Lytechinus pictus: one gene and its partners. The protein of the gene in region 3 binds, or shares a complex with, the protein of the main gene of each other region. Links are inferred from orthologs where the notes say so. Each region holds a gene or a part of one and is shown on either strand. Other genes may lie near its edges. The genes, in order: ruvB-like 2; dynein axonemal assembly factor 10-like; unconventional prefoldin RPB5 interactor-like; DNA-directed RNA polymerases I, II, and III subunit RPABC1.

Evidence for each region.
Region 1: unconventional prefoldin RPB5 interactor-like (region 3) and ruvB-like 2 share a complex: the UniProt entries of both Homo sapiens proteins name them as parts of the PAQosome complex. The link is inferred for Lytechinus pictus from reciprocal best matches to the Homo sapiens genes URI1 and RUVBL2.
Region 2: unconventional prefoldin RPB5 interactor-like (region 3) and dynein axonemal assembly factor 10-like share a complex: the UniProt entries of both Homo sapiens proteins name them as parts of the PAQosome complex. The link is inferred for Lytechinus pictus from reciprocal best matches to the Homo sapiens genes URI1 and DNAAF10.
Region 4: unconventional prefoldin RPB5 interactor-like (region 3) and DNA-directed RNA polymerases I, II, and III subunit RPABC1 share a complex: the UniProt entries of both Homo sapiens proteins name them as parts of the PAQosome complex. The link is inferred for Lytechinus pictus from reciprocal best matches to the Homo sapiens genes URI1 and POLR2E.

The regions. Positions count from the first base shown.
Region 1 is NC_087253.1:12,090,863-12,098,725, reverse strand, and holds the start of ruvB-like 2, read right to left. Parts: upstream 3,019-7,863; 5' UTR 3,004-3,018; coding exon 2,944-3,003; intron 1,272-2,943; coding exon 1,092-1,271; intron 556-1,091; coding exon 483-555; intron 1-482. Other genes in the region: uncharacterized protein LOC129267757, read left to right, coding at 6,613-6,870. UniProt on the Homo sapiens protein: Possesses single-stranded DNA-stimulated ATPase and ATP-dependent DNA helicase (5' to 3') activity; hexamerization is thought to be critical for ATP hydrolysis and adjacent subunits in the ring-like structure contribute to the ATPase activity.
Region 2 is NC_087251.1:10,512,844-10,520,716, reverse strand, and holds the start of dynein axonemal assembly factor 10-like, read right to left. Parts: upstream 3,010-7,873; 5' UTR 2,832-3,009; coding exon 2,658-2,831; intron 1-2,657. Other genes in the region: translin-associated protein X-like, read right to left, coding at 6,529-6,987, 7,574-7,744. UniProt on the Homo sapiens protein: Key assembly factor specifically required for the stability of axonemal dynein heavy chains in cytoplasm.
Region 3 is NC_087246.1:39,025,686-39,033,263, reverse strand, and holds the start of unconventional prefoldin RPB5 interactor-like, read right to left. Parts: upstream 3,008-7,578; 5' UTR 1,377-3,007; coding exon 1,155-1,376; intron 722-1,154; coding exon 586-721; intron 43-585; coding exon 1-42. UniProt on the Homo sapiens protein: Involved in gene transcription regulation. Acts as a transcriptional repressor in concert with the corepressor UXT to regulate androgen receptor (AR) transcription.
Region 4 is NC_087255.1:18,058,858-18,065,993, forward strand, and holds the start of DNA-directed RNA polymerases I, II, and III subunit RPABC1, read right to left. Parts: upstream 3,018-7,136; 5' UTR 2,489-3,017; coding exon 2,432-2,488; intron 1-2,431. UniProt on the Homo sapiens protein: DNA-dependent RNA polymerase catalyzes the transcription of DNA into RNA using the four ribonucleoside triphosphates as substrates.

The DNA of each region.
Region 1 (7,863 bases), on a different chromosome or scaffold from region 3:
GTAATTTCTGTTGCTATTCTGTTTATTTTGAGGGAAAATACGTTTTCCGTGATTTTCCGTTTGAAATGCCACTTTCCGTTTCAAAAGGCCCTTTCCGTAAATTCCGTCCGTTTTCCGCGATCGCGGAAAATCACTGTCCCTACAGTGTATACTATCATAATCATTAATAATGGAAAGCACATTGTCATATGTCCTCATCAAATATTTTGTGTGTGTGTGAATTTAGCCATTTGTGCGCTGGAGGTGACATATGGATAAAATTTGTAATTCTTTGTATATGATATCACAATTGTATCTCATTTAAACACACACTACAAGCAAACAAATTATTCAACATTTGTCGCTTCCCATAATTTCAGCAGAATTAAACTATGACTTTAATAGTTGAACTAGAGCCCATTTCATGAAGAGTTATAACTTCATTGTGATTGGCCCCTAGACCCCTGGACTTAAAAATACAGGAATGGTTATTTTCTACTCACCCATGGCTATAGCTGTTTTACCAGTACCTGGTTGACCAGCAATAAGAACAGCTCGTCCTGCAATTTTACCCTCCTGTAATAAGGGGATAAATAAATACATGTAATTAAAGTTAATCCACCCATGAAAGGTCCTTCATGGAAAATACAATGTAGATCCTAAAGAAACTTTTAAAATCATATCATTTCAAATTTCACCCCAAAAGTGGGGTTTTGCTCCCTGGGTAGTATATTTATATATCATATTATGTAGCCTTTCCTTTTTGGACTCCATAACACAAAAGTTTGCAATCAATAAAAATTGCTGAATGCCAATAATCAATCCTGGGCTCTGTAACACGAAGGTTAGCAATTACCATTGCACAAACACTGACCTGGAACCAATCAAAGTGGTTCATTCATACAGCAGAATCTGCACAAGTCAACCTTACAATGTAAGTGGAAAAATCGCTTAACTTGAAGCATTAATTCCCACCAGAACATGCTAAATATCTTTTTATGAATTTTTCCCAATTTGAACAGATTTCTCTGGTCCCCAGACTTGGGCGGAGTCACCTGTTTTTGCAGTTCATTGCAACCCCTTATGTAAAAGGGCCCAGTTGTCTTTCATACCTTGATCATCTCCAGGATGACTCCTGCGGCTCTCCTGGCCGCCGTCTGGCCCACCATACCCTGGGACACATTCCTTGCTTCCAAGGCATCGTCTAGACCAAGACCCCTGATGTGAGAATGCGCTCCTATCCGCTCGATCCTTGTCACCTCACGAACCTCCTGAACCTTCTGTGCTGTTGACTGCAGATGAAGATAATAATGATAAATAATATTGAAGAAAAGAAATAAATATCTTCTCGTCTTCTCTCATCCACTGCATGAATACAAAGTTACTAGTCCAGCAGTGTATCCACTCAAGATTTTTACATCCGTTTTCGGACTATTACTTTTCTATTCTTTTATTCGAGCAAAATAACAAAGAACACAAGACCTACAATCAACATTGCAGAGACCGCCGTTTTCTGTCACAAACGGTTCATACTTTTCACTTATGGATGAATGCTCCACACTTTTTTTTATTTTTTTTTGATCAGTTTTAATGGCAAACAGTCAAACAACAATATTTTTCAATAGAAAAAACGTTATTGATCAGGTTCACCTTTTCCCCATCCCTTGAGCTCTCTCTGTTTTCCCATTTAATTTTAATGTTTCTATTTGTTGATTTTTAAAATATATTTTTCTTTAAGAATCTACTCGTCTTTTCTTTTCTGTTTCTTTATCATGTCTTCATGATCTCTTTCCTTTTTGTTTCCTCTCTTCTCTCTCTTTTAAAATCATCTTTTTTTTTCATCATCATCTGCTATCATCTTCAAAGGGCTCTGCAGCGCTACCTTGAAAATAAAATTAGAATTGGACGCACGTTATGAGTAAGCTGAGGGGTATTTTCAATTTCAACTTGATTTTGCAAGAGCTTTTCATGCTTTTGGAGGCTGTCAACAGTAGAGGCGCACGGCCAATATTGGAGACTGTCTCCAATGTGGGAGATTATCTCCAATATCAGAGACTTTTGTAAAGAATTTGGGTATCCAATTTCAGAGTCTCCAGTTTTGGAGACCAATTTCCTTTGTTTACATTTGCTGCAAAAGGATTACCTTGGGCTTGGCGGCAAATAAAAATGTGATAAGCAGATTTCTCATGAAAAATTGCCCCTTTTCACCGTCTACTTTTGTTTTGATAAGGATTTTTGTTGTCAATCACACACAAAACAAATGGGCTTCTGACCTCAAGGCTCAGTGAGACAAAATTTCGGGTGGAAAAAAATCATGTTTTTTTGGTGTTGTTTCTTTTGTCCTTTTGTAAAGCAAGTCTCCAATGTGGGAGATTGTCTCCCCTGTTATTGGAGAGAGTCTCCCATTATTGGCCGTGCGCCTCTACTGGTCAAGCGAAAAGTATTTGACATGTATATGAAGAGGGAGTTTAATATTATTCCATTCAGGGACAGACTGTTGGGCAAACAAAGTTAAAAGGGCTGGGTTTGAAAAAGCCTTTTTAAAAAAAAACACATAATACATAACATATTTTTTCCCTTCTGACAATATTCTGAGACTGAGTTTTAAATTCAAATTGTTTTATCTTTGGCTTTGTTGGTCATGTTACTTCAATACTTGTTACTTTGTTAGTTATTTCTCTCCTCTTTTTTTTACTGGATTAACATGACTCATGAGCCTGAGTTCCTTGCATTATTTTTTCTTGACTTGTCTTGGTAACTTTTGGCTCCGAGCCGGCTCTGTCGCTCAGCTCAGCCGCTTTCCTTCGCCTCGGCTTCAGCGGAGCGGTGACCTTCTATCGAATCCTCCTGTATACTCATCTTGGAAGAGATTGGTCAATTACAAAGTGAACCTGCTGACCAAACACAACACATGTCAAGGAATCCTTTCCAAGCCATCTCTTAAGTACTGGCAAGACTGTATACCTCCTTCTGCCAAACTCCTGTACCCGAAAAGTGTACTCTCTCCTGTCTTACGAAGAGCATTTGTGGTGAGAGCTCAACTCCTTACAGCCACCTACTTAACACAGTGTCGTCTCTTCACGCTGAAGAAATCAACCAGCCGCACTTGCCCTCTATGCAAATCTACCGACGAGACTGTGGAACATTTTACTGGGCAGTGTCCCAAGCTAGACCATCTCCGTCAAGTGTTTATTGGCAAAGTCAAGGACTGCCTTGTGGACTTCCCAACATGTGTCGATCTATATGTCAATGCCAACCCACTGGACTTTACTCAGGCCACCCTTATACCATTTCACTCTTGTTTGCCCAAGGAACTACACAATAGTTTACTCCTATTATCTCTCTTTTTCCTCCACAAAATTGATGTATTCCGTACTGACATGGTTCAAACCTCCTAAACCAGAATGACAGCGTATATGGAACATATCTGTTTACCTTGGACCCTAGGAATCTCCAAATAGTGGAGGGATCAGCTAAGAGTAAGAGAGAGAGTCGTCCCGAGTTAGGCCGCCGCGCCGGCTGATCCGTTGTCATGCACAACATACAAAATTTAAACACTGTGCTCTGAAATCGAGCAAAAGTCAATCAATTAAAGTAAGAATTCAAATACTACTAATTCAACTGTCACTAGTATATAATCCTCCTCAGTATCCCTACGAACAAATAAAATTCAACAAATCAATTAGGCTACAGAGTCATTTATTTCATCAAGTTACGAGTCAAATTTACAAAACCCACGCGAACTTACCGCTGCCATTTTGATCTGTGATGACAACGCTAGCTGGCGCTTTACCTCCGAAAAAACGTGCGAAGGGGAATTCCCTGCCGCTCGACAGACTATTTCTTTGTGCTTTTGGCTTGCTCGAATTTTATCCAGGTGATAGTAAATTTTGAAAGCAAGAGCTGAGCCTGATCTGTGAATTTAGGAATGCCGCTAGGTAGCTGCCAAAGTATCAAGATCGATTAGGAATGTGAGCTGAGCTAGGTAGGACCGCTGGGGATAGTCGCACAGGCCATGTGGATTATCATTTTAATGCCTCGATCACTGGCGTGCGCGATTTAGTTTGGGCGCATGTGAAGCGGGTTATAACACATTTTCTTGATACTCGTATCCTAATTGCACATAAGCTTCATCGCATGTTCCAACACATGGGTTGTACGAGTATCTTCAACTTGAGCGAGCTGAGCGTGAGTGATCTTGAGTTGGCATAATTATGCAGGGTGACCATATTTCACAAAATGAAATACGGGACAATCGACAAAACATAACAACTTAAGTCTAAACAAGAAGGATAAACAGTGTTAGACTTGTGAAAAATATATTAAATAATTGGAAGGGCGGGTGAACGAAAGAATGAAGAAGAGAAAGAAAAGATGACAGAAAAGAAATGAATTGAGAAGAAAGACTGAAACTAAGACAAAGTGAAGGGAAAAAATAAAAGAAAGTTAGAAAAAAAGAATAAAAATTAAAAGAGAAAAATGGTATCCATCATTCGATCTGTGAATTGAATATAGAAAGGAAGGGAAGATGAATAAATGTGTGAAAGATAAAATGAAGGAGAGAAAGAAAGTAGGAAAAAAAGGAGGAGGAAAGAAAGAATGAAGGAAATAATTTTTGTTCCTTCATTGAAAGAAAGGAACATACGAAGAAAAACGGGAAAGGAGGAAGGAAGGAAGGGAAAGAAAGAATAAGGGAAAAGAATTATAAGGGATAATAAAATAAAGAATTAAAGAAAGGAGGAAAGAATGAAGGGAGGAGAGAATGAAATAAAAAGAAAATAATGGAAGGAGAAAGAACGAAAAGAAAAAGGAGAGGAAGGAAGCAAAGAAAAGTTTAAGGAAAGCAAGAATGAAGGAAATTTAATAAAGAAGGCAGGTAAGAGAAAGAAGGAAAGAAAGCAAAATGAACACGGAGAGAAAGGATCAGGAAAGAAAGATAGGAAATAAAGAAAGGCGGAACAAAAAAGGCAAGGAGGAATAGAAGGATGAAGAAAGAAGGATAGAAAAGAAAGAAAGTTCAAATTTAAAGCAAACAAAAACTATCCAATCTAACAAAAATCATAATGATATGGTATAATCGTGATATAGTCCCCAAATCCAAAAATGGGGATTATTAGATTCGCACAGCTCGAGAACTTGCGAAATGATAACACACACAAATGAAACACACTTACACTTGGGTTCTCTCCCTATTATATACTCGTGATACAGTCCCCACTCTACGGGAAATCAAGTTTGATTTTCACGGCGGTGGGGACAGTTTCAACAGTATAGTATACTCGTGATGCAGTCCCTGTGCTATGGGATACACAGTTCACTTTGCACGCAGTGGGGACAGTTCCAACAGTATAGCTATACTCGTGATACAATCCCCACGTTATGGGATACACATTTCATTTGGCACGCAGTGGGGATAGCTCCAACAGTATATTATCCAAACAAAGTGTGTTTCATTTGTGTGTGTTATCATTTTGCAAGTTCTCGAGCTGTGCGAGAGTTGGGGACTGTGTTCTGGAGAAAGGAAGTGACTTTCATGCGTTCTGGTAGGTGTGATTCTAATAATCCCCATTTTTGGATTTGGGGACTATATCATTATGCCAATGATATTTGGTGTTTTAAATATATTTTAAAACTTTTTTCAAAATGAAATGTTTTAGAAATGAATAATCTGAGAATCCATAATATAATTACCGGTAATGGCAATGCAGTTTCGCACTGGCAGATTACCAGCATGCATACCTCACTACCAGTAACGTTAATTGTATGCAAATGTTGTGGCAAGGCTCTCAGTGACATATTCCAAGGTCAATGTGACCACCGGCACTGCTTTTCCAAATATTACATTCAGGAACGGTTGTATTTAGCTCCGATCTCGACGTTATTGTTCAACTTCTCAGTCAGACTTCGCTTGGCTTGGCTTCGCCATAATTTTGATATGAACTGAAGTTGGCGACCAAAAGATTTGCCTGGCCTGCGTGTGGCATGCGGCAGCTCACCAGCCCGTTTGTGTGCCGCCACATGTGCGCATGATTTTGGTTGCCAACTTCAGTCCAAATCAAAATTACAGCAAAGCCAAGTGAAGCAATATCTGACTGAGAATTTGAACGACGTCGAGATGCATGGAACCCGAAATACAGCCGGTCACGATATTTGGAAAAGTGGTGGGCATACTGACCTTGAAACGTGATTGAGGGACTTACTATGACATTTGCAAGCAAGTTCTGTGGTGAGGTATTCTGGTAATCGGCTGGTGTGAAACTGCATTAGTGCTAATGGGAGTTACAAAAACTTAAAAAGGATAGTCTGCCCATATGGCATTTATAATAAGTACCTTGGGTTGATACGAGTCGAAGGGCAGGGACAGGTTCATGAGTTTGCTAGGATTATGAACAAGGCAGAGGGATTCTTGTCAACACACCCTCCGGCCTGCCCTATTAAAAGTGAAAGAAAAGGAAACAAAATGCTAGGAAACAGGGAAAAGAAGAGGGGAAGAAAAAATAGCTGTGCTGAAATGAAAGCCCTGCTTCCGCTCCCTAGGATATAATCAGTGGGATTAAAAAAAATTAACAAAAATTGCATTGTTACCCTAATGCAGTTCAATTTTCATCTGTATCACTTCATAGGTTTGAGAAGATGTCCAGCCAGGATCACCACCCAATTCACTCCGGAGATAGAGGGTCTCGTCCCCATCAAGGGGGGCGTGGCAAGAATCATCGTCAAAAAAAGAGGGGTCACATGAAAGGTCAAGGGAGAACAAACGAGGGGCAGAGCGAGATTGACGCATTATTCAACAAGGCGTTCACTTTTCAGAAGACTGATGATGCCTTGTGGAGATTACCATCCAAGGATCAATTATTCTGCAGTGCTCCAGAATCTAATTCACAAACACAGGTAAATTTTGATCTCTCTTATGGCGTGTTGCAAGAAACCTGCCAGCAATTACAAGTAAATTTTTGGTCCCTAAATCAATCATGTCATGCAGTTAATTGCAAATTAGTGACTGATTGCTAATTTGCTCCTTGAAACAAGAAGTTTAATCTGATTTGCTACAGCTAATGGTGATCTATCAATTGTAAAATTGCAACAGAATATTTGCAATTGATCGCAAATATTTTTCTTGCAACGCCCCCTATGAAATGACTTCAAAGTCCAATGGGCATCAGCTTTCATAGGTCATGCATTGCTTATTTGCTGACCCCAGACTTTGTGAAAAATATTGAAAATAGCTGTAACAGAGATATCTTTTGGGAAAAGCTAACTTGGTGAAGGTAATTGATCAGTTACGTAATTAATTACATTTTTTAATTGTAATTGTATTTGAAATCTGTAGGGAAAGTAATTGTCATTGACCTCAATTACTGTCAATAACTTTTAATTACATTCAGTTACTTAACAATAAACTTAATTATGATTTAATTCAATGACCCTTTTCATGTCAACTGCTTCAGCTTCAAAGAGTGTAATAGGCAGAATCTGTGCTCTTTAACATAAACCTTCATCTTGTCAGATTCTCTGTAACCTAGAATTGTTGAAATAGGTGGTGCTAGATTGCTAGTACATACAGAATACAAAGTGATTTCATTTATGACTTATAGAAAGTAATTGAAATTGTAACTGTATTTGACAAAAGTAATTGGTCATTGCAATAAAAAAAAAAGTGATTTAATTGAAAAATAATTGTAATTGAACATTTCTTCAATTAAGTAATTGTATTTAAAGAAAGAAATTGAGCCCAACCCTGGCAGCAAGAAAATTTTCGGCCAAACCTGCTTAATCTCAGGCTACTGTCAGGCCAAAGAAAATGAGATAATGAGTTTACAATAGGGCAGTTTTAAAATGGTATTACAGAATGTATTCTGGGCCTTATTCTCTTTCTACTTTTGG
Region 2 (7,873 bases), on a different chromosome or scaffold from region 3:
TTTTGCAAGGAAGTTACCAGAACGCAAAGATAAGAGAATTTTCAGAAAACCTTTTATCTTGATATGTTATCTTGTGCACATACATTATTTAGGCACCGTTTTTAACTTACGCATCATTATAGCTCTGACATATAAGTATGCGCTCAGTGAAAGTTACAAGAAAAGATACAAAAAAATTTAGAATACAGATTTTATTGTAACTCCAAAGATATTACAAGAATATTTCTCTTAAAGGACAAGTGAAGTCCACCCCAACAAAAAGTTGATTTGAATAAAAAGAGAAAAATCCAACAAGCATAACACTGAAAATTTCATCAAAAATCGGATGTAAAATAAGTTATGACATTTTAAAGTTTCGCTTAATTTCACAAAACAATTATATGCACATCCTGATGGGTATGCAAACGAGGAGACTACGACGTCATCCACTCACTATTTCTTTTGTATTTTATTATATGAAATATTCCAATTTTCTCCTCATTGTCAAGTGATACAACGATTAATTCCTCCCTGAACATGGGGAATTAGCACTGTTAACACTATATGGTTCAGCTAGTCAAGTTGGTCCTTATTGTCAAATCTGTAAAAAACGAAATATTGTATAATTCTTTTCAAACAATAAAAAACAAAAGAAATAGTGATTGACATCGACTGACTCACCTAGTTGTGCATATCACTGTTTTGTGAAAAATAAGCGAAACTTTAATAAAATGTCATAACTAAACTATCTTATTTTACATCCGATTTTGATGAAATTTTCAGCACTATGCTAGTTTGATTTTTCTCTTTATTCAAGTTAGACCAAAAGCTTCGGTCTCTGTTATGTTATGTTGGTTGTTCAGCTGAACTCTGTTGGCTTCACTCACCAAATACAGAGACCAAAGTTTTTGCGCGATCTGTACAGGGGACTGAATGGCCATGCGTGTATGTATTAAGTTTGGATAAAACAGGGAAGTGATTTTGCGCGACAGCCGAGGTAAGTCACTGTTTCTGTTCCTTTTAACTTGATTTTTTCCCTGTTTTTGGCAATTAATACCAAGAGGAAATATTAATTTACATTTCGGTCGCATTAATTTTCAAGATTTTGATTCATTAAAGACAAAAATTGAAGAGCCCCGACAGGGGGATTTTGCATTGTAAGTCCCCTAATGGTGGCTGCAGGATAGCAAGCCGTCTGTGTAGGACTACGAGGAGAAATTTAAAAAATAAAAAAAAGTTAAAAAACTCCTCGAAACAGACGGATGCCAGCTGTCTATATTCAAGTCAGCATTTTCCCTAACCCAGGAACTCCCGCCCGCAGCCCAGGAGCTTACCGTGTATTTGACCATACTCACGGGACTAGCGTGATTTATGGTCTAAATATTTTTCCAAATGAATTGTGAAAACAGAAATTATGCACTTACCACGATTATATGGATGAAGGTCTAACGAGTGGCAGTTTCCTGACGAGGCTCAGACTGGAACTTCAAAAAAACGAAAAGTTCTCTCCTTCTACCCCAGTCTCGATCGGCCATTTTGTTACGATTCATAACACAAATGGCCAATCGAGACGGGGGTAGAAGGAGAGAACTTTTCGTTTTTTTGAAGTTCCAGTCTGTGCCTCGATGTCAGGAAACTGCCACTCGTTAGACCTTCATCCATATAATCGTGGTAAGTGCATAATTTCTGTTTTCACAATTCATTTGGAGAAATATTTAGACCATAAATCACGCTAGTCCCGTGAGTATGGTCAAATACACGGTAAGCCCCTGGGCTCCGGCCCGCTGTGCGGGCCGGAGCTCCCTGGGTTACATTTTCCCATGACATGTTTCCTGGGGTGGACTAGCCAGGCGGCTTCTAGAGAGTAAAAATCATTTTCTAACGTAAGGTCACTCTCATATGAAGCCAGGGCTTCCGTCATATACTTTTGCGTGTACCACCAAAAAACCTGAAACTTTCGCCCCCGAAATTTCTACTTTCTTTCTAAAAGATCTAGCCCTAAATCATGTACATGGAATAAAACTTCATTTCCGACATTTCTACGCTCTCGTTGTTATTTTTGAACAAGAATACATCAAAAAAATGAGAGAAATATTGTGTAAAGACGGAAGAGACTCGCCCAATGTTTACGCCGCCATCTTGTTTTCTATTGTTCTTCCCCAACGTTACCCGACGCACACGTCTGTAACGTTGGCGAAGAACAATAGGAAACAAGATGGCGGCGTAAACATTGGACGAGTCTCTTCCGTCTTTACACAATATTTCTCTCATTTTTTTGATGTATTCTTGTTGAAAAATAACGAGAGCGTAGAAATGTCGGAAATGAAGTTTTATCCCATGTACATGATTTAGGGCTAGATCTTTTAGAAAGAAAGTAGAAATTTCGGGGGTGAAAGTTTCAGGTTTTGGCTTCCATTGTGTGGGTCTATGGGATAGAAGGCCTGGCTTCATGAGATTGACCTTACGTTAGTAAATGATTTTTACTCTCTAGAAGCCGCCTGGCTAGGCCCTAGGGTGGACTTGATTGACCTTTAACTAGGGCCTAGGCAATTTTCAGAATACGGCCCAGGTCAGTAAATGCATTGACATGGACAAGTGTGGTGTGACTGGTGTCCATCTTGTAAAATCAATACCACGGCAGTGCCACCTCCCCGCCGGAACAACGAATCTGATACTACCTCGTGTATTAATTTAGGTTCTCCTTGATCCATCTCGAACACTTGCAAAGCCCCCGTCTGTCTCGGGTGGCAACCAAGCACAACGAACCGGGCACTTCTGGGGATCCATTTCACGTCGTATAGCGTTATGTTCAAGGATTTTGTAGCATGAATTATGATCTGTGGTTTGTCCATACTGAATTTCACACAAGTGAGAATTACGTCGGAATCAAAATATACTGTTAATAGTATCCGAATAGATGGAATTTGCAATCGGCGTCCCGTTTCTAAGCGCTAAGGCTAAGCTAAGACAGTGTCGAGATTGAGGAAGTTCTTCGCGATATCGATACGGCGGCGCTCGTGTATTATATATATGGGTAAAAGCAAGACAAATTAAAAAGGGAAAACATATTTACCAAGCAAGACTTCAACGACGTGTAACTTTACCTTTGTGCAGACCCAAAGAGGGCAGAAGGCGGGGGGGGGGGGGGGGGTGTGCACATCAGTGGTGGAACCGGTGGGTGCAACACCAAATCCCACTTTTTTTAATGCTTTTTGTACAAAATGTGTTTAAAGAAGTGGATTCCCTTTCCTTCCCCTCCCCCATGGTCAACCTTTAAAAACTTACATAAAAAAAATGAAATATGTTATCTCAGCAAAATAAATGAAGAAAAGCCGAAGAAAATTTCACTTTTACTAGTTTCCATTTATTATTCAAGGGCCTGTTTCATCATAAGTCTAACTTCTTGACTAAATCGGAGATGGTGAGCTACTTGTCCTCTATAACCATTTCATGAAGCCCTTTTTGCCAAGATCGGGGACAAGAACCTGACTAAATATTTATGACACCTCCGAACCAGTCATAACTTCTTTTGTAATGACGTAGTGGCATCAAGTGGGTAGACTCGTGCCTCAAAATTTGAAAATTGTAATCTTACATACAGTAATTAATCATAGAAGTTGAAATTACATTGCAGAACAAGTGAGACGGCTCATTCAATGATAATTGTAAAACACCACAAAACCATTCATTTTGAAATAGTAAAATAATTGAATCAATAAAGATTCTGCCACTGGACTCGTACTCATGGTTCTCAGACCCTTTTCAATATTTTGATAAATACAATCTCTAATTTATGCATAGAATTTGTCAAATCATATCTTTCAGTATATCTATCGATTTACACAATTTCTGTTGCACTATATTTTGATGATGTATGGAATAAAAAAAAAACGTTTATCATCATTTTACAAAGAAAACCTTAATGGTTTCATTCCGTATATCTCGGGGCTACACATCTCAACGTCCACATGTGATTTTCAGTAATGAAATGAATTCTTTGTAATTTCATTTTATTAGCAATTAAAAGCTCCAGTCTTCATAAATAAATTTACTTGATCAAACCATGCTCATAAACAACCTTGAGCATATTCAGAAGGGCAACAACAGTACTTGACTATTTATTTCAAGTCTGATAATGGGAGATGCACAATGATGGAGAGAACAGGTCATGTCTGTTTCATGCCGAATTCCAACAATTTTGCATTCTTGTTTTCATTACTTTTTTAAAATAATTTTTTGAGGTCAAGTTAATAATTCACTGTACCTTTATTAATGAAAAAAATTAAATGTTCACTTTCGCAAAGTGCAATACACTTGTGGTTTGCCCTTCATTGGTCATCTTAATGTACTCATCACTTATCCATATTTTCTTTCAAATTGGTGCATTAATTCCCTATAAATCATAACAAATATCATTTTAAAAATCTTTCTCACCCTTCTGAACTTGCCAAAGTTTTTGATTTGATGAGCCTGGATAGATCAGGGGAATGTCCCTGCTCAGATCCTGGATGGGAAAACATGCTATAGAAAATGCAGAAACACAGCAGTGCTGCGAACTTGGAATGGACTGAAATGCACCACTATTATGTAACAGCATATGTATTCAAAACCACTGAAGCGAGACCTATGACATTTTCATAGAAGTTAGAAAATGAGCTTTCTACCCCTGTACATTTCATTGATAATATTTCCACATTTTAGAAATAATTAAGCCAAATGTCAGATATATAACTTTTTTTTTTTTTAACAGGATGCTTTTTTACTTGGCAGTCATTTTCTGATAAGTCAAGCCTAATAACGAATTTGCTTTAAAAAATATATCAAATCAAAGGTCATCAGAATTTTTGCTCACGATTTTCATACTTTGTGTGAGGTTTAGCGTAATCCGGGTTGTTTTTGCCAGGAAAGCATGAAAACATTACTATCCATGTCCCTCAGAATACCCTTCCAATCATTTTCCCTCAAATAAGATGACCTCCCTTTTTCAATTTTTCGTGTGTTAGTGGTCGTTTTACATTGCCATTTTCCTTTCAGTGTTTTTAAATGCAATATTCTTGTGAAATTATTTGTAATGATTTTGAAACTTTAATCATCCATCGAGTCTAAATCTGTACTCATGCTTGTAAACAAGTCGTCATTCCCTCCAGCCCTACAAGTTCCAGAAGTATTTGGCAAATTAATCTTCTTACACACTGACACACCCATAACTATAATGAATAAATAGATAACGGTAACTCAAATTTCTCTGATTTTAATTTTCTTGCCCATTTCTGAAAAAAAAATCTTTCTTACAACATGAACTGATTCCTTATAAGAACTTACATTTTAATTAAAACTGCATTTAAAACTTTGAGCAACACAGTTTAAAAAGACAATTTACATTGCCATTTCATCATAACACAGGAACTATTCACAATTTAAGATGCAAAAGAGGAATGACCATTACAGCCAGAATGAACTATGAAAACTTTCTTTTAATAAGCCTTCATTCAATATTCTGAAAAAGTTCAATAATTTGTAGATATTGACATCTTCAAATAACAAAGGCAAGACTTGAAAAATAAATGTAAATTGGAAACAGTTATTAAAGATAATCAGAATTCATATGCATGATGACAAGATACTAAATACCCAGTGTTGTCAAATGTCAATTTTTGACTTTGAGTATGATACATGATCATTAAAAATTTAATGTAAAAGTAAGTTTTAGTCAGATGAGCCCACCTCCACGCCTTGAAATCATGATTCGTTTTTTTGTTTGTTTTAATTTTGTTTAAGCATTCAGCTGGCATGGTGAGTTGAATAATAATTCAGGTGCTTATCTTGAAACAAAAATGTATATTGTCCATCCACATAATAAGAAGTTTCATGAATCTTACTTTCCCTGGCTCTAATTCTTTGTGAAAATGATACAACATACATAAATACAACCCATTTTTCTTTTTTTTTTCCTTTGGAAAGGCTGCTATGTATATTTATGGTATTGGATCAAATAAACAATCCAAACGATGGTTGTCACTGGAAGTAAGGTTATAGATTTGGTTTGTCTGGAGTCGGATTAATCGGTGTGAATGTGGTATGATGTTGAAATCCAAGAAAAGATATTAATCATTGGCAACTCAGTATAAAAGTTTATGATTCACCCGTGTGTTTAGTTTTCATGATCACAGATCATCTCACAGTTTTCACTGTTCATATATATACTTAGACATGTGCCTTGTATTATAAGAGATCGATCACAAAGCTTAGCATATGATTTTAGAACAAATTTTGAATGCAATGACCACCATGTATAATCAATTATGACATTAAATTATCAGTAATCATAAATGTTAATATGTTTTATAAGTTTACTAAGGAGTTACTGAAACTTGATATCATCAATGACACAAATGAAAATATCTAAAACTATATCTTGAACACAGTCATCATTTCTTGTAAGAAGCCTGTGCTAAATCAGCGTCCTTCAGTGTTTGTTTTGGAATATGGGATCCCTTTGAAGTAAGCCTTTATTATTAAGATTCTCAAACTTGAACCAGACAAACTAAATCAGTCCATCATTTCTTGACCATAGTCATCATCTCTTGTAGAAAAGTCTGTGCTGAAAGCAACATCCTTCAGCATGTGCTTGGGAATCTCAGATCCCCTGACTTTGATTACATAGCAGGCATCCTCCATTTTCTTCAAGCTCTGTCTCATGACCGATGACTTGCGCACCATCTCGCGCCCTGCTACATTACCAAGTTGCTGGAATCCTCTGTTGATGTTCCTCATGAAATCAACTAACTGAAAGGGTCTCTCTAGGTCTCCGCTACCGATAATGTTTATACACATGCGCATGAGTTCCCCTGTGAAATCTGCCAGTCCAAGCATGTATTCAAGAGGTGGAAGTTTCAGAGACAATGTCCTTTGGTCACTACCACATTTTGATTCCATTAATGGATCTTGAATCTCTGTGGGATCACTGGCTTCTGGTTGACCCGTTACTCCATCAGCTTTCTCTGCTTCCTGTACAATTAACAATATCAGTACATTGACATTATATGCAAACTACAGAGAATTTCATTTTACAAAACCTTTTTTCCCAATTTCCCAAAATATACATTTTGAAATCAATCTTGATTTGAGTTTGACTTCAAATAGCAAATTTTTTGTAAGACAGACCCATAATATCAACAAAAAGACAATTTCAATTCAATTCAATGCAATTAATTTTATTCAATCATTTAAAAATCAAAATATACAAATCATACATGAATAACATGAAAGAAGTATTTTAGCTCATGCTGGGTCATAGAATTGTATAAGTAACTCTGAACACCATTTTTACAGAACTTTAGACCACTGGATGTCGTCACATTATGATTGAAGGTTACTTTATACCCTGGATGGGTATAGAGTCTACTTCAAGAGAGAAAAAAAATTGTATTACACCTATATCAGATGGGTATCACCAATTCCTTTATACGTTCAGACTATCATACCCACTAATTTTATTTAATTTCTAGTTTTTATTCTAGTTGTGATTATCATAGACTTTTAAAGAATGAAAAAAATGAACCAGTAACAAGAACAAAACCAAGCTTCGACTAACCTCATTTTCAACCTGCTTGATGTCATCTTTCAGAGAAAATGTGAGTCTTGTAGCAATTTCATCAAGTGATAGAAGTCTTCCATTTTTGATGAAGAGATAGAATGAAACAGCCTCAATATACTCTTGAAGTCCTGGTGAAAACGCTCTGATAAACTGATGCAAGTCTTCACCCTAAAAGGGAGAAAATGTGGATGTGAAAATAAGAAATAAGAATACTTGAATTTATTATTTCTACATATCAAATGGGCACAAATATCAGAACAAAACAAACAGAAATAAGATCCCTCTTCAGACAGCTGA
Region 3 (7,578 bases):
GATACTGTTGCTTCTTCAGATCATTCATCATTTTCTGTACATCTGATAAAAGAGAGTAATACTTTCATTTCTTTTTTTTTCATTGTCTCGTCTTACTTTTCTGCTACTAGGGTTGGTTCAGCAGGGACAATATGTGTGGTTGGGAGCGATTTCACTCCCAAAATGCTCAAGAGCCCTGAAAAAGCCCCAGAAATTCCCCATTCACTGCAACGTTATTAAAACTTATTCAATGTTGCAGATTTGAGCAATTGGTTGTGAAAAATAGCCCCCCCCCCCCAAATATATATATTTTCCAGTATGCAAAAACAAATTTCTAGTCGTTTATCACTGTGCTAAAGAAGTCATCTCACTATTTCATCTCCTGTGACTCTTTACTACCAGTAATATTACTACCAGCAAAACTCTTATATGAAATAAGGCTATGAAATGGAAAAAAGGTTAATGCATATCATTAACCTGAATTCACATTGTTATTGGAGAGCAGGGGAACTCCCCTCCACCTTTGAAATGTGGATGGTCACAGAGAAGTCTCTCAAACCTTCACTCTAAATCAGACCTTTGGACAAGACCCGCTTATCTACTCACATGATTTCCTCCTATCGATGATCTGACAGGCTTGTGTGGCTGAACGCTCTGCAAACCAGTTATCACCAAGGAGAACGAGTATCTCATTGGTATGGATCAACTGACCAGGCATGAAGGCTAACTTGCCAAAGGGAACCTGTAGAAAGACAACACGGTAAAAGACAGAAAGAGATGGAAGTGTAAGGGGGAAGTAAAAAAAACAGATATATGGACAAGAAAAAAAAAACAGAGAGATGATAAAGAGAAAGTCAGGAGGAGGAAACAATAATACTTGAATGAATTTGCACCTGAGGCTAGAAAATAAAACAATTTTTATTCACTTGTCAACAAAAGTTCAAATCTCAAATTTATTTGGTGGTGAGGTGGGAATGGATTCAACACATAAGCCACGCCAGCATAGATCTGTGTCACAAAATTAGTTACAGGATAAATTTTGTGGCCTCAAACTTATTACAAACTTCATATTAACTTTCAAAGAATGAATACTATCAGGAAAACAGAAAAAATGAAAAACAAACAAAGATTGATTATAAAAAAATGTATTTACTAGTGTATATTTGATTTCTTACCATAACTTCATGTGAAACTTTTTCAGGTAACGTTGTCAGTCTGGCCTTGAGAGCTGAATAGTCTTCATCAAACTTTTGCCATTGCTGTAATTTGTCTTTAGTCTCAAACAAGGCTTTCTCTTCTTCTTCCTTCAGGCGACCAATATGAGCAAGATCACCTCCTCTCGCCATTATACAACCTGCATGATAACAACCAAATAAATAATAAATTTCTAATCTCATACTCTAGAATGTATTCTTCTGAGAGACCTAGCTGTGCTTCTCCTGGTCACCAAATTTTTCTACTCTCTAAAGTTCTGGCAAAACAAAATGTAGTGTACAATCGTATTTGCAAGTTGTTACTGAGGAAGAATAAAGAAATACTATCTATACCCAGACAATCGATTTTAAGCAGCCATTTGGAAAAGTTAAACAAGCAAAGTTTTGTCAATTTTTCATACAAAGTGTTAAGTAATATTACAGAGAATGAAATTGAAGATTACAACCATTAAATTCTAGTGTAATCAAAAGACAAAAAATAAGCGTGGAGCGTTGTGGCCCAGTGGATTAGTCTTCGGACTTTGAAACAGAGGGTCGTGGGTTCAAATCCCAGACGAATGCACGATCTCCCACAGTTATCTTTGTGTTACGAGTGGGGATGAGAAGGAGCAAATTATCGTGAGAACTGCACAGGTTATGAGTGTGTATAGACCTGTGAACTTTGCGTCGTAAAAGCTCAGAAATATAGTTGGGGGCTTGGCTAATTAGTTCCTTGTATACAATTAACAAAATCTTGAAAGATATTCGTTGGCGAACTGGAAGCCAGTGCAAATCTTTTACGATAGGGATGATCCTGGAAAATCTAAGTTGACAACAAATCAGTCGTGCACATGTGTTCTTTACTCGCTGAAGATGCCCAATGTGAGACGATGGGAGCCCAGACAGCAAACTGTTACAATAATCTAGCTTACTAATAATGCATGCATGGACAATATTGTTTTCACACTTTCATAATTAAAGTAATTTTGTACAATTTTGTATATCATACGAAATGACGATTTACACACATTTGTAATATTTTTTTTCCATAGTCAATTGTGAGTGAAAATATACTCCCAAGATTTCTTACATTAGAATTTGGTTCTATGACTTAACTGCCAACTGATATCCTGTCAAAATCTAGCTGTTTAGATGTACTGATAACTAGCAATTCTGTATTACTGTCATTTTTTTTAATAGCATAAGTTTATTGTGCAGCATCCATTCACGTATGTAATCAACACATTCTTCCAGGAGAGAGATGCTCTGCTGCTGAGCAAGTAAGTCTGGTGTGAAAGACAAATAAACCTGTGTGTCATCTGCATAGCAGTGGCAAGATACTTACTAAATTTACTATGGATATTTGTAATTAGTTGACTTGTGTATAGAGTGAATACCCTTGAGGGACTCCGAAAGGTACTGAGAAAATTTCAGAAACAGTTTCATAAATTTTGATTTGTTGACATCTGTCAGTTAAATGATTACCAAACCTTTATGCCAAAGTGTTTCTTTAGTGCATGCAATAGGTTAGTATGATCAATAGCATCAAATGCACTACTAAGGTCTAATAAAAGTAATAAGGTGACTTTCTTTCTTATCATCCATATCCATGAGAATATCACTCTTGAGTCATAATTCTTAACAGTGTCGTTCAGTACTGTGATACTGCCTGTAGACTGACTTATTACTTGGAACAAGGTAGTTGCAGTCGAGATGATTCATTATTTGCGTATATACAGCACCTTCTACAAGCTTTGATACATACCTCAGATTACTAACAGGCTGATGATTACAATTTTTTTCTTCCAAACCAGGTTTATTCAATAATAGTTGAACTACAGTGCGTCCCAAAAAAAACTATACACTTTTGAAATGGCTGCCAAATAAAAAAATGTACCACTTTGGGGGAAAAGACTTATAGATATGGAAAGCCTATAAAGTCAACTTTCAAATGACACCAAAAAGTTGGAAAACTATTCATGCTTGAGCGAGCACTGCCCACTGAAACAAAGGGTATGAAAATTAGGGTGGGCTGGAATTAGCCTTCCAATTTCTTTCAGTTTTTTTTGTTTGGTACTTGCAAAGTTGATGGTTATTTGGTGAATTAAAGATCAGTTGTGATCAGTTTGTTGTTTGTGAAAATTTAATGCGTTATTAAATCGAAATTTAATGCATGAGTGATCATGAATTGGGTGCAGCATTTTGTCTTATCATGTGGGTCTCAACAATGTGTTCACGACAGTCAGGAGAAGAGGGGGTAATATGACTTAGGTAGGTGAAGTACGTTGGTGGGATAAAGGTCAACAGAACATTTAGCAACCCCTCTCTCAATCTCACCCCCCCCCCCCCCCCCCCGCTTATCTCCCCCTGAGAGACTAATATGCTCAGCTAAAGTAGGATGGGCAGGAATTAGCCTTACAGTTTTTTTGAGTGGTTAGTCCTTTGGAACTTGTTAAGCTAAATTAATGAGTGAGATAAGTTTTGGTTTCTTAGGCAAATTTCATGAGTTACTAAATTGAAATTTAATGCATGAGTGAACAGGAATTGTAATTTTATTGTTGCATATTTATCTTGTGAACCTCAGCAGTGTGTTCGTGAGAGTCAGAGTAATGTGATGGTACCCGTTACAAGCAAGAGGGCGAGATATGCTAAGACTTGGTTAAAAGGGCATTCCTCTTCTTTTTTTTCCTTTTACAAATTAAAAGTCATATGTACCCTCCCCTCTCCACCTCCATTTCCCAGCCCCCCTCTCTCTGTCTCACTTCCTGCATCATTTGTAGCCTATTCAAAACTTAACTGCCAAGTGACCGGTGGCTGATGGTCAGTTTTTTTTTCAATGATTACCAAGAAATTTAATGATTATGATGATTAATGAAATAATTAATTGAAAAAAAACTGAATGTTTGATTGATCACATTGCACATTGAATAAGTTGATTTACTGATAAATTGTTGATTAAATGATTGATAGGAAAAAGTTGATGTCCCAATTCAGAATTAATCATTAAATCAACATTCTGCTCTGGACTTCACGCGTACATGACAATAGCCATCAGTCTCTCAACAGGAGGGAGGGCGGGAGAGAGGGAGGGGCGGGGGCTGAATGTTCTGTTGACCCTTATTCCATCAACCTACTTCTCTGACTTAAGTCCTATCTCACCCCCTATTCTCCCGACGCCCATGAACACATTGCTGAGATCCACATGATAAATTTGAAATGCTGCCCAAAAAGAGATCCAAATGATAAAGTTTAAATGCTCCCCAAAAGTTGTAACTTGTGTTCACTCATGCATTAAAGTTCAATTTAATAATTTACTTAAAATTTGCTTAAGCAACCAAAACTGGTCATGGTTGATCATTAATTTATCACATCGCCCTTAACTTTGCAAGTTCGAAAGGATTTGCCTCTCAAAAACTTACATAAATCGGAAGGCTAATTCCAGCCCACCCTAATTTTCATACCCTTTGTTTCAGTGGGCAGTGCTCGCTCAAGCATGAATAGTTTTCCAACTTTTTGGTGTCATTTGAAAGTTGACTTTATTGGCTTTCCATATATGTAAGTCTTTTCCCCCAAAGTGCTACATTTTTTATTTGGCAGCCATTTCAAAAGTGTATAGTTTTTTTTGGGACGCACTGTAGAGCAGTTTTCCAGAGTGAAGGGAAATGACCAGATGACAATTCAAGATTAATTAGAAATGTGATGGTGGGAATCAGTGTGTCAATACGCTGTAGAAGAATCTTTGTGGGCATTGGGTCTGATGCACAAGACTTTTTACTGAACTTGGTTATAGGTTTTTTAACTTGGTTGGAAATCCTTTTTTTTCCTTGCTCTGAAAGAAGAGTAAATTTCATAAAGTCAGGTTTTCGTGGATCTGCATGACTTTCTTATGAAAAAAATTGCCTAAATCATTCACAAAGCACTGTTTGTTACTAGTGATGCATGATGTAACAGATTGCTTATTTGCAATATTCAACAGAGACTTCACAACTCAAAACTGCTTATGATCACCTTTGTTTTCCATAACTAAACCATTGTGATGGATTCTTCAAGCTCATGTAACATACATGTATGCAACATGTGTTTGTGAAGTGACTTATACCCATTCCAATCGCTCTCCATCCTAGAGTTTAAGTTTTAACCGATGCTTTTCAACATTCCTTTTCTGTATTTTTGCGATCCTTACATTATCAGTGAATAAAGGCAATTGGGGTCACAGAACAACTATATTACATGTTCTGCATGCATGTTTATCTAAGATACTATTTAGTGTAATGTATCATATAATGAGGCGAATTCTTAAAGATCACAAGCTGTATGTTTGCAAAGATTATTATCGGCTATATCAAGCTTCTTCGTAAAAATATCTATTACTCCAAGCCTACGGAATGAAATTACTTTAGAAGTGGAGGTTTGTAGGAATTAAAGAGTACACATAACAGGAATATGATCGCACAAAAGTGTGTCCAAGGTTTGCCGATTATAATTTCATCTACCTGTCGATAAATCAAGTCAAGGGTATGACCATGAATAAGTGTACTAAAATCAACCAGTTGTGTACACAAAAAGAGACTGGAGCAGATCCGAGAAAGAACTTGCCTCTGCAGCTCTGCTTTGACAGTATCCACATGGATATTACAATCTTTAAAGGAGAATGAAACCCTTGAAACCAGCTGAATCCATATCAAAGAGAAAAATCAAAGAAACATATTGTTGAAAGTTTGAGGAAGATTGAATGAATAATAAGAAAGTTATGAGCATTTGAATGTCGAGATCACTAATGCCATGTAGATCCTCCAATTGGCAATGCGATTATGCGACCAAGATCTGTGATGTCACACACGTACAACTCCCTCATTACTTTAGTACTTATTTCACTTATATTCTCACTTTTATAGAGTCTATCACAAGGTGAGGTGTTCTCTTTATGAGAGGACAAGTACAGAGGTTTCACAACATTACATCATTGATGAATCGTTTGTCATATGATTAGAATGAGCAAAAAGAGATGTTTTGGGGTATATTTTCAGTGTCCAAAACTGGGGAGAGTTGTTCATCTGTGACATCATAGATCTTGGTCGCATTGCCAATGGGAGGATCTCCATAGCATTAGTGATCTCGACATGGGGATTATGGTGAAATGTCAGAATTGTTAAGGAAATCCCCAGAAACGTAGCCTGGAGGCGTCTGGGGAGTGAAAGTATATACTGTACGTATGGTCACTCCCCTAACGCCTGGCATTGTGATGCATAGAGTCCTACCTACCGAGGGAAAAGGCAACTATAAAAATGCGCCAAACTGCTAGTTATGTTTAGAATCTGAGGTCACGACTGCTGTACATGGGTCACAATATTGGTTGGCAACGTTTGGCAAAAAATGCGTAGTAATGGTTAAAAAATGACGAATAAATTATATGAAGTAATAAAAGTAGAAGAGAGTTTACTTACACTTGTTGACATCGCCATCTTTGATCCTTTGTAATTGCAACCTAGTTACGTGACGCGTATAGAGGGCGGCAAAATCATGAGCGGTGCTAGATTAAAAAGTGCTAAAATGTCCCGCTTCAACCACTGAACTAGAAATACATAGAGAAAACATATTGCATCTTGCCTTCTACGGCGTTTGGCGGCGGTCACGTGGCTTATCGAGTTCGCCGCCGGCGATGTTTTGCTTGGGTGTACACGACTTCCACGTATTTCTAGTTCAGTGGTTGAAGCAGGACATTTTAGCACTTTTTAATCTAGCATCTAGGGAGCTCCCGCCCGCGCAGTGGGCGGGAGCCCAGGGGCTTACCGTGTATTTGGCCATTGTCACCGGACTAGGGTGATTTATGGTCTAAATATTTCTCCAAATGAATTGTGAAAACAGAAAGTATACAATTACCACGATTATATGGATGAAGGTCTAACGAGTGGCAGTTTCCTGACATCTGGGCACAGACTGGAACCTCAAAAAAACGAAAAGTTCTCTCCTCTACCCCAGTCTCGATCGGCCATTTTGTTACGATTTTTAACAAAAATGGCCGATCGAAACGGGGGTAGAAGGAGAGAACTTTTCGTTTTTTTGAGGTTCCAGTCTGTGCCCACTCATGGGATCAATGCATCTCGCGTGCGAAGGATTCATATGCACATGGTGCACGCGAATCTTTCACACACTTTTTACTAAAATAACTATGCCATTCCATTTAAATAATGTTTCTAATTGTGCTACATGTATGACACTTACCGAACCATATGGATCGTTTCTTGACTTCTCTTTGGTGTGTTTTTTAATAAAATAAAAGCATTTTCTCGTGATCTTCACGTAGATGCCGCAGTATGATCGTGGGTATCAACTTTTAATATTATTCACAAGACGTTTGTTTACGATCTGCAGCTTGTACTGCTAGCTGCATTTTAGATGCTCAGCA
Region 4 (7,136 bases), on a different chromosome or scaffold from region 3:
AAAAGGGTAGGCCTATTTACCTTACAAATTATGCGAGCGCTGAACTTTTGGACATTTAAACCTCAACAAATGGACATTCTAAGCATTTTTAAAATATGAACATCATAACTGTCACTTACAAAAATGATGCCAGCGCGAAGCTCGCACTTATAATTTTTGATATTGATGACAGGACTGTATCTAAATGAAAAATAATGCGAGGGCATTTGCGCTTAAGATTTAAATTTGGGATTTGAAAAGTCCGACAGATTACCTATACTTTTAAAAAAGGAATGACATCCAGAATTCAAGCGCAAAGCGCCAGTAGATTTATGTTGAAGTTAGACCTAGAACAGGGACGTTGAACCTTTATAATCATGAAAAAGATGGTATTTTTATAAATAAAACATGGAAGTCTAATTTTGTTTTAGTGTTAATATTCAGATCTTCAAACTTGACATTTTCCTATCCCCTTCATCATTCTCTCTCTCTCTCCCTTTCCCGCCCCCTCCATTCCCTTTCTCGCTTTTCCTTTCCCTTCTTTTCTTTCCTTTCTCCCTCCCCTACTGTTTTCTCGCTCTTTCCATTTTTCTTTTCCCCTCCCTTTCCCTTTTCTTTTCCCTCTTCCTTTCCTTTGTTTTCTTTCTATTTTATGGTCTCCTTTTCCCTCTCTCTCCTCTACCTTTCCCCCTCCCCTTTTCCTTTCCCTTTCCCTCTCCTTTTTTGTGCAAACATTAACACGAAAATCTTGCTTCCTACACACACACACACACACAAACGCCCGCAATCTAACACACGTAATGCGAAACAATCGGGACTTTATCATTTTGTTCATATATATATATATGTATGTATATTTTCATCTATTTAAAGCTTTGAAAATTAATAAACAACGATTCCATAGGCGAAATCTCAATGATCATTAGGAAGGTACTTTACCCATTTTCATTTTATGTCATTGTGATTATTCCATACTAAGGCAACATATTTTGGATATAAAAATACGTGAAGGAAATGTTCCTCTAGCTTCTGTTTTATACTTTAACAGAAAACATTTTGTTCAACCAAATTATGATTTGTATTTCCAAGTTCCATGTAGTATTTTCAGTGGAAAATCTCTTAAAGGTCAAGTGCACCCCAGAAAAAAAATGTTTGAATAAATAGAGAATTATGAAACAAGACTAACGCTGAAAACTTCATCAAAATCGGATGTAAAATAAGAAAGTTATGACATATTAAAGTTTCGCTTATTTATCACAAAACAGTTACATGCACAATTCATTGATATCTAAATGAGAGAGTCAATAATGTCACTCACTATTTATCTTTTATTGTTCGAATTATACAATATTTCAATTCTCACGACTTTGACCAAATAGGACCTTCTTTAAGTATATACATGAGATGCAACCTGTTGATTTTTGGTACAATTTCCTATTATGCGCCGACGACTTGAATCGAGAATGTTCGATAGGAAAAATTCGCATTTCGATTTTTGTTTGCGTAATTTCCACCGCAGTATGAAGGATGACTAAGGACGGACCGAGCGAAGTATCCTGGTTGAGATTTGGAGGTAAGCGATAAAAACACCTTTATCAATAATTTCTAATTCATTTTTAAAATGAACTAGGGCCTAAATCATACGATCAAGATTAACATAGTGGAAAAATATTGAAAGATTTGGCGTTTCATAGTCCCTCACATTCGTGTGATGAATGAAAACGTCAAAATGCACTATGAAATCACATGCGTTGTGCGAGGTTAGTATACTATAACTAACCTCGCATGTTGTGTGAGTGCACCTTTTATGACTCGATCGGAATATCCGATCTGGTTCACTGTCCCGATGTTCGGGTAGGTGGAGCGTAGTGTAGCGGTAGTAAAGTGGAGTGGAGCCTGCACGAATATCGCCTCAGGTACCCACAGGCAGGATGGTTGCAGTGAACAAGTGGCATATACTAACCTCGCAATACGTGCGAGTGGTTTATTCCCATGCCCATGTAACCCATGGAACTCCCGCCCGCGCAGTAAGAGCCCAGGAGCTTACCGTGTATTTGACCATACTTACGGGACTAGGGTGATTTATGGTCTAAATATTTCTCCAAATGAATTGTGAAAACAGAAATTATGCACTTATGACGATTATATGGATGAAGGTCTAACGAGTGGCAGTTTCCTGACATCTGGGCACAGACTGGAACCTCAAAAAACGAAAAGTTCTCTCCTTCTACCCCCGTCTCTCACGACCCTTTTCTAAACAGGAATAAAGAAGAAAACTGTCAGAGCTAATAACATGAACCTAACGTCAGCTAAAACCGCTACTGCGCTAGATTAGACTCGTAGAGCCGTTATAATTATTTGTCCCCTAGTTTAGCCAACCTCAAATCCAACGCGTGGGACTGAACAAATAATTTCAAGAATATCATCTAATGATTGATGCACGTGTACTTACCTGCATAATTGTTTTACGAACTCTCCAAAGTCTGTATGTTTCGGCTTCATCATTCATGATCAAAAGGATAGGTTATTTGCAAAACGTTCACTAAAAAACCCCGATTCTAAAGAATTTCCAAAATTATGTTACGATTTCCACACGCTTTTGCATGCTATGGTATCATTGAGATAAAAATTCCACAATGAAAAAATTGAAGGACAATGCAACGTAGTCGTAGTCGTAGAGATCTCTCAATGTCGTGTTATATTTGGTTTCGTAGAAATCGAAAATTCGGGAATTTTTGTTCTTTTGCTTATTTTTCAACATCCTCATCAGAAATACAGAAATACAAATCAATGATTAAAAAAATGAGCTTACAGTTGTAAAATGGTGATATATCCATACGAAAATATATGATAAACTCGTATCATTTCTCAAAAGAACGAATTGAAAACATTTAGAAAGCATAAATAACTGAGTTTATGCTTGAAAAAACGATAAAATCGTTGTCTGGTTCATTACAAAAAAACATATCTGAAAGTAAGGTTACATATAAATTCAGAAAGAAAAGTTATGTACCCTCTCTCGTTTCAGTTCCTCCGCTGTTCGGAGATCGGCAGGTATCACTGCAAAAGTTACCGTATCTTAAATGTATCAAATGTATCAAAAAAGAAAAATCGATTCGATCAGAACTGGAAGTCTAATTATAAAACAAAGATCAACCCTTATCATTCTAAAGTGCTGTAATTGCACCACTGATCACTTTCCTTCTGTAGGTCTGGAAGCGCCCCTCCCCTGAAACCCCACCCCTTCCTCTACGTAATCTATAATGCCCGACTATCTGTCTGGGAATGATATTGTTCAACTTGCTTCAAGCTCTTAAAGGGTAATCCAAGCTTGGTCATAAAATATTGTGTTGACAAAGAGAAAACTAAGAAAAACAGAATGATGAAGGTTTGAAGGAAATCGGACAAGCAATAAGAAATTAAGTTATAGCTGCTTTAAAAATAAGATCCCTTAGAATATGTAATTTTTAAATTGGCAACTGGGTAAGTAACCCATGACAAGGGCATAGGCGGCGGAAGCGGGGGGGGGGGGGGGGGGGACGGGGGAGACAGGTCCCCCTAAATTTGAGGTGGGGGGGGGCGATCCCCCCTAAAATTTTTGTTGATAACCTTTTTTTTTTGCTTGTCAAAAAATTATGTTGGTCCCCCTAATATTTTGGTTGATATATAACTTTTTTTTTTTTGCTTATCAAAAAATTTGGGTCGCCCCCCCCTAATTTTTTTGGCTTCCGCCGCCAATGGACAAGGGGCAAGGATATCTTTCCCATAGGCCATGTACTTAATTATCAGGGTTTTTTGTTTTCTCCTAATTACTTATTCCCCTGTGGCAGTAATCAAAATATAGCCCACGTATCATATCGTTTTATGTCCTCATGGAAGAAAATAAACTTTGAAGTAAAATTAAAAAAAAAAAAATTAAATATTGAAGTAAGTGAAAGAGTAGTCCTTGTCTTCAATATGGCATCACAAGTGCGGCCAATTTGAAGTCTCCATTTTTATTACAACTTTTAAAAATTCATAACTTTCTTATTTTTTGTCCGATATTATTCAAACTTTCACGAATCAACTTGTCTGATTTGTATTTTAATGCGATAAATTTTAAGAATTGTTATTTTGTATACATCGATCTTCAGAAATGCTAGTGATTAAAGTATACATCCAAAGAATCAAAAGTATTTTATAATGACTTTATGTGGTCATCATTGTAAAGGGGAAGTATTACTAATCAGATATATAACTTCACTTTTCAAAATAGTGATCAGAGATTGCAGAAATCAGCTCTCAAAAATGATTTATTTTCATGCCATATTTCTGCCTTCCACCGGTCCTCTTGCGAGCTCCAGCTGAGTGACGTCACACAATGAGCAGTGAGCAGCTGAGCTGACAGCAGCCCATTGGAGACGATCTTTCCAATCAGCGTTTTTTGCTCTTAGAATTGTTTATTCCTCTTAAGATTGGTCTTGTTATATAGATAAAAGTTTGAATTTACTGAACAGTGAAAAAAAGTGCACATTTAACGTATTTTGGTGACCGATATTTAGCTTAGAATTTTTTTTTTTCCAAGAAATATAGGTGAATAAACAAAGCATATTTTCACGTAGAAATCACACTTGCGTCACATTGATGTTATAGTCAATATAAAGCATAGACATTCTTCTTTATGACTGAACAAAAATTATGAAATTTTATTAAGTAGCAAAGTCAGGAATCACAAAAAAAACACGGCAATATCCATCGCGAAATGACTGAAATTGCAGTTGAATTGCCGAAGCATTATTAGGAAACGGCGGCGAGCGGACTTTCTTTCATATATCTTAAAAATGCCTTCCTGTTAGGGCGATGGTCTGTGGCCAAATGCGTTGGCCATTGTTTTGTCATGTGCGAGGACCCTGGTTCGAAACTCGGATTTTTTTTTCTGGGTATTTTTTTTTTATTCCTTCCCCGTCCCTACCCATCTTTTTTTTCTCTTTTTATTTTCTTGTGAAATTCTATTCAGACCTGTATTTATCAAATCTTGCTTCTTAATTGCTGCTTTTGATTTTCAAGTTCTTGATTAGATTATTTCTACTCTTATTTGGGATGGGAGGGGTAGAGTTAAAAGTCAAGTCCACATCAACTAAAAATTATTTGAATAGAGTGATTTCCCTTGTTGTTTTTACTCAAAACAGTCATATACACAAAACAATGATATGCAAATTAGAGTTGTCACTCACATCACATTCGTTTCTATATTTTTTGTGGCATTTTGTTTTTTATTCTTTGCAGATTTGACGATAGGAAACTCTTCATCTGATCACAATAGGTTATATTTACGGAACTGTTAAAATAGTAATTATATAAATTTGAATCAAAGTTTTTATGAAATTTCCTGCAATATCTTGTTATTTTTCTTTAAATTCAAATGAATTTTTGATTGCGTGGACTTCTCCTTTACTCTTAATGTAGGGAATGCATAGCAAAATTTATCCAGAAACAAAATTGTCTTAGAATATGCAAATCAGTAATTGGACACATGTTCACTTTTCTTTCATCCAGGCCACTTCCTCACATCCACCAGGCTTTCAGTCTGATGATGAACCATCACACAACATTCACAGTGCTTCACAATAAATATTTCACTTCTGTTCATACATGCAATAAATATTGTGGAAAACAAATAAAAGGCGTACCCATATTCAAATACCGTTTAAAAGGACAAATATATTATACCTTTCGAGAAAAATCAGCACGTTAAATATCTGATAACAAAACATAATTATGGGGCACTGCAAGAAACTTATGTTCAATTGCAAATCAAGCGTAAGTCTTAAATTCAAATTTAAGCGTAATAAGGTCGAGTTGCAATCGCAATTCAACTACATGTTTAATCAAAGGACTTTCCCTTGATTTGGGACGTGTGATTGAGTATAACATTTCTCGCAAAATGCCCTAGTAACATTAAAATTGTTCTTTCGTTTTAAATTGTGTGTTATTATTTTTGACAAGCTGTATTCCTGTCCGAGTAAAATTTCTTAGTTCTCTCCAAAACTGTGCTCAAAATTGTTTCCAAGATTGATAAAGAAATTTTTTCTTTTGTATCATTATCATTCCACAACTTGCAAACCGTAGGTCCTGGAAAGAGTGAAGAAAAAAATGGCTATATCCAAATCATAGTAAAAGGACAAGATGGAATCTCCCAGATTGAGGTAGCAAGCAGAGACCAGAAGTCACCAGAGTTAGCAATTGTGCAGATCTGTGTGTAGAAGAGAGAAAAAAAGAAATAGTTTAAATAATCAAATCAAAGTATGAATTTAATTATCGTGATGATTGATGACGTGCGGTGGCATGTAATTCCCGGTCAACAACAAATGATAGTAGGTTTAGACACCTGAAAAGTTCCACTCAGAACACTGGAGCTCTACCTCAAGTGATGTTTGTGTAGGCCCCACTCCACTTCACTACCGCTACACTACCGTACATGTACGCCACACCTACCCGGGTAAGTGTGTAGCGTAGTGTAGGCTGTAGCAGTACTCCAGTAGTGAAGTGGAGACTACACGAACATCACTTGAGGTACGGTGCTCTCTGAGTCTCTGTGTCATTACAAAGATTGCATTTATCTTCATTGTTGAAGGCATTACGCATACATATATGCAGCAACACTCTAATCAGAAAGAAACACCAGACTCTAATTTTGGCCCACCCAAGGGTTCATTACATGCCGCCGCGCACAGAAAATTCAAGCAATAGAAGTCGTGGACCCAAGAAGTGAGATCCCAGCACGCGCGACCCACTAGTTAGAAATCCACTGCCAAACGCGGTTCGTGGTTAGTATACTAATACTAACCTCGCAATACGTACTAGTAGTATACTAATACTAACCTCGCAATACGTGTGAGTGATTTTGGCCAGGAATCAGGGTAATCACTGCTGAAAATTTGTCTGGCTTCATGACATCGGCATCATGGTGATATAATTCTGTGTATAATAAAAACTTAAACATTCCTCTGAAACAGCAGATTTTCAGCCATGGTCCATACCACTCAGTGATCCTAAATAATTTAATTGCCTGCCTGAGTCCTGACCAGTTTTAGAAATCTGAAGAAAAAATCTGCTGGAATTGTGCCACTCACACGTATTAAGTATACTAACCCCGCACCACGAACCGCGTTTGGCAG